Linked DNA regions of Kluyveromyces lactis. The protein of the gene in region 2 binds, or shares a complex with, the protein of the main gene of each other region. Links are inferred from orthologs where the notes say so. Each region holds a gene or a part of one and is shown on either strand. Other genes may lie near its edges.

The links. Proteins that work in one complex are often made in the same cells at the same time.
Region 1: MRPL20 (region 2) and IMG1 share a complex: the UniProt entries of both Saccharomyces cerevisiae proteins name them as parts of the mitochondrial large ribosomal subunit. The link is inferred for Kluyveromyces lactis from reciprocal best matches to the Saccharomyces cerevisiae genes MRPL20 and IMG1.

What each region holds. Positions count from the first base shown.
Region 1 is NC_006042.1:571,880-574,104, reverse strand, and holds IMG1 (mitochondrial 54S ribosomal protein bL19m), read right to left. Parts: upstream 1,097-2,225; coding exon 581-1,096; downstream 1-580. Other genes in the region: BUD23 (18S rRNA (guanine1575-N7)-methyltransferase), read right to left, coding at 1,406-2,209. UniProt on the Saccharomyces cerevisiae protein: Component of the mitochondrial ribosome (mitoribosome), a dedicated translation machinery responsible for the synthesis of mitochondrial genome-encoded proteins, including at least some of the essential transmembrane subunits of the mitochondrial respiratory chain.
Region 2 is NC_006037.1:691,434-693,776, forward strand, and holds MRPL20 (mitochondrial 54S ribosomal protein mL58), read left to right. Parts: upstream 1-1,172; coding exon 1,173-1,766; downstream 1,767-2,343. Other genes in the region: DEAH-box RNA helicase PRP16, read right to left, coding at 1-617; KLLA0_A07777g (uncharacterized protein), read right to left, coding at 1,990-2,343. UniProt on the Saccharomyces cerevisiae protein: Component of the mitochondrial ribosome (mitoribosome), a dedicated translation machinery responsible for the synthesis of mitochondrial genome-encoded proteins, including at least some of the essential transmembrane subunits of the mitochondrial respiratory chain.

The DNA.
Region 1 (2,225 bases), on a different chromosome or scaffold from region 2:
ATCAAAAATGCGGGCGTGCTGCCTTACCTGTTATGGTTGTTTTTTAATGTCAGCTTATTTCAATTTTTTTTCAATAGAGACGGCTGGTACGGCTTTCATAACATTATACCACTACTTTTTTGAACCAATCAAGAACCTTCATAAATTATCAAAAATGCGGACCAAAATTGCTTGTAATCTTTTCATTTCTAATAGAGCAACTTGCTCACTCAATGCAGCTTTGTTTTAGATAGAGCGTACAAATCCTTTCTTATGCTTATCCTTTCTCATGATTTTCCTTTCTTATTGGATGCACTTGATGAGGTATAAGGACTAGCATAATCCGCCTTTTTATTTTACAGATTATACAATTATATATCCACCCGACATGCTAATGATACAAATAACTTTACCTAGAGAAGCTGGACCTGCATAGAGTACCTTGCATTATGGTTCAACTCTGGAGCTCTTTCAACTTTGAATCTTCCTTGTCTTTGGGTTTGCATTGATATCGAGCATTACTTACTATATGTTTGAATTGCTTCTATGTACATGTTTCATTTTATGAAAATTCAGCAAGTGTTTGATAGTGTGAATGTGCTCATTTCTTCTTTCTCATACTTGCTTCCAAATCTCCGACATCCAATCTGGTGTTTCTGATGTAATAATGTTTACTTCTGCGTCTCTTACCATCCGCTCTTCTAATCAAATCAATTCTCTCTACCAATGGTGAGAAGATTGGCACTCTCATTTCCACACAGGTTTTATAAATATAATCTCTTAATAGAATGGATGTGTCTTGTACTATTGGCTTACGGTCTACCGATAGCACATATCCAGTAAAACTATCGTAGTTGCATTTCTTGGAATCGTAAACTACACGAAGAACATCACCTGCACGTAGACGATTTGGGTTTTTCTTTGAAACCATCTCTGTTTTTACACCAGTTGGGTCAAGTTGTTTTAGATCATGATCAGCTAGAGTCTTCACTACTAATGGGGAGGATATTCTTTCAACTGGTGGGTAAACTGGAATAATCTTTCTTCCACTCTTAGCTGGAAGTTGATAACTTCTAACAGATTGTCTGATAACGGTAGGTAGTAGTCTCTTTAACATTGTATGGGACTAATATAGTTTTGGAATGGGAACTTGATCTGACGGGTAGTAAAGGCTTAAACTCAAATATAAACTGCGCTTCAGTGCTTTCTTAACTCTTAGGTACTTATGTTTCCATCTTTTTTAACCAAAATTTTCGAATGTTCTTTCTATGGAAAACTACAACATAGGTTTGATGATCATTTTAAACGTTTTGATCATGGCAGATGCAATAGACACGGAAAATGGTGAATGAATGATAACGTTTCAGTCCATGTTTGCTGATTGTATTAAGTGCGTATCTACTAATTCTATATATGCAAGACCATACTAAAACCTAGGTCTTCTCTTTCTACCCGTAAACTTCGAGTCGAGAGCTACCTTTCTACCTCTTTTTTTCATCACCTCCTTCTTTCTGTTGATGTAATCCTTACTTGATTCAACTAGTTTCTTTTTACGCTCTCTCTTTACCATTAGATCTGCATCCATCTTAACACCATCCAAGTTGACTTGTTCATTCTGTTCTGTAGATCCGGAGCTTAATACCAAGTAGTACTTCTTGTTCTTTTTGGACTCGGGATCATCAATGACAAGGCCACCAGAGAATCCAGCTACTTTTGCTGCTCCCAAGATTTGGTCTATTTGATCATCATTCTTTGGATAGAATTGTGCTACAAATTTTCCTCCTTTCTTCAAACTAGCAAATAGTGTATTGAAGAACCTCATGAGCCTTCTCTTTGGATCGTTGTACGATGTGTCCGCATTACATAACCATTGAATCACAGATATACTAATTGCCGCATCAAATACACCTGCTCTAAATGGAATACCTTGACCTATATCGTGTAACATAAGATCACCTTCAACTTCTCTTTCTAGCGCTTCAGCTAACATACTAGGAGAAATGTCTAATCCACACCATATATGTCCTTCTTCAGTGATGATTTCACCACTTAAACCAGACCCACACCCAATATCCAAGATATATGATGTATGTGGCAGGTTGAGAAGTTCTAAGGCCCGAAGTGTCATTTTAGCTTGAATATGTTGCACTCTTGTGGAGCCACTATACTTCTTAGATTCACTGTCATTGTAAAACACTTCTGGTGGTGCCAAATCTTCTGGACGTGACATTTCGATCTCAAACTTC
Region 2 (2,343 bases):
CTGTCGCCGCCTTCGTACGGATCTTGCTGAGCTGGTATATATTCATCATCGTGAATGACGTTATCAAAATCATCATCATTATCGTACCAATTTCTATCTTGTGCAGTAAAATCCTTGGCGTCCTTTATATCTTCCACATCACTACCTTCTGCATCGATAAGTGTGCCTTTGGTCGCTTCTTCTTTTTTTACCATGACCACTGGTTCAGTGTTTTCTGAAAACTCATTCAATTTTGCTGCAGTTTGCTTCGTAATACGTTTCAAAGTCAAAGGCTTGTTGAATTTTGGTTTCACTTGTACCTTCACAGTAGAAAGCTCATCTTCATCGTCGTCTTCCTTGTCATCCAACGGAAGTTTAACCACAAATTTTTTCCTTATGGTTCTTGCTGGAACAGCCGCTGATTCTGGCTTTGGAGACTGCTTATGTGCCTGTAATTTTTCAAAAAGTTGCTTCAAAAACTCATCTTTGCCCTTAAATTTCCCCAAAGCCTTAGCACCCCCGATGAACTTGTTTACATCCTTATGAATACGTGCAATCTGCCTTAAAGTCTCAACAAACTTCTCTGTCACTCTTGATTCCGTATTCTGTTGAATCCATTCTTGAAGTTCTGCATTCATCTAATTCTGTTGCTTGGTAAACCTACCACCTGGCGTAAAACCTGATGAGACAGAGCTGCTAATGAAGTATCACAAGGACTGTTTATGCCATTATTCTTGTCCCATCTCATAGCCTTTCAGCTCTTCCTGTTGTGAATAGGAACGACATTTGATGTTGATGTTGGGATTACCCGGCTTTCACGTGACAAAAGATACAGAATAGTCCAAATTGGCACTTCTAAAAGCTGCATAATATCGCCAATATAAGCCCTATTTTAACAGGTCAGCTCACACTCATTCATAGTACTAATCGATATTATATAGAAGCATCTTCAGGTAGGTATATCCACTAGAATAATCCTATATTTCTCGAAATAAACTGTTTTCCCATACTAATCCTGTCTGTCTCATCAGGATTTCTATCTGAAAAATTTGAAAGCATCAAACTGAAAGATTTAGAGTCTGCAGTGCGAAACATGGTGATTGATAGTTTAAATAACAAGTTTTAGACCCTTACACCAGGCTTATAATCCCCAATTACGCTGTAGAAATTACATTTGACATATTCGCTACAGTATGGTGAGACTATTTTCGACCAGCGCCCGTGCGGCCAAGGATCTTTCAAAGATAATTGATAAATCAGGTAAGTTACCTAAGATCGTTGGACCAGCTACCATTTACAATCCAAAATCATCTGCCTCCAATTACAAAGGTTATTTGAAAGCCAAGATTCCAGCAGGTCTATATTACGATCCAGCTCCATCCTCTATCCATGGTTCTACTAACTCAGAAACGATTCCAAAATCTTTCTTACCGGCCACTGATCCAAGGCACGACATTATAGATGACCTAACGCAAGGTAACGCAGAGATATCGAGGGTAGCGCCAGTGTTACATGAGAAGGGTGAGAAGACCTACCATTTGAAGCCTGAAGACATCGCTGAGATTAGAAGACTAAGACTGGAGGACCCGGTGAAAAACTCTAGAAAAGCTTTAGCAAAGAAGTTCAACTGTTCTCCGTTGTTCATCTCTATTGTTTCTGAACCACCCAAGGAAAGAAAGACAGAAATGAATCAAGTTCTTGAGACGATAAAGAGCCAATGGCATCCTAAGAGAGCATTGGCCAGAGCCGAAAGAAAAAAGAGAAAGGAACTCTGGTACAGAGCATGAGAAAAGGTAAAAGAAAACAACATACTGTATATCTGTAAATAGTAATAAGATAACCATCGACCTTATGTTTCAATCGTTAGTCATCAACTCTATTAAATGGCTTATAACATCTATATATATGCATGTAATATAATACAATGGAAGACGTGCAAAAATTAGTGTCTATCTCAATAAGTTACAGCTGGGGTCATTATCGTTAGGAAAAAATGATACATTAGTACCACTAATACCCATCGTACATCTCTTGGAAAATTTCGTACTCATCTCGGATTCTCAGGATTATATCTTCGAATAACTGCATCTGATACGCATCTTTTATTTGTAGTTCCAATGCAATCTGATGCCTATGCTGTCCCTCGCACAACATTGCTATCTGATACCATTTCTCCCTCCGCTGCAATACCGTATGCAGCTCCTTCAGATTCGATATCACCTGCGTCTCACAGAACAACCTCTCGTCGCTGTTTATATCCTCTTTATCAACTCCGTCCTCTTTATCCGAAACGAATCGAAACCTGTACAGCGACGGTTGCATCATCGTCGACTGATTGGACCCATCCAAATGCAAAAGCTCGTC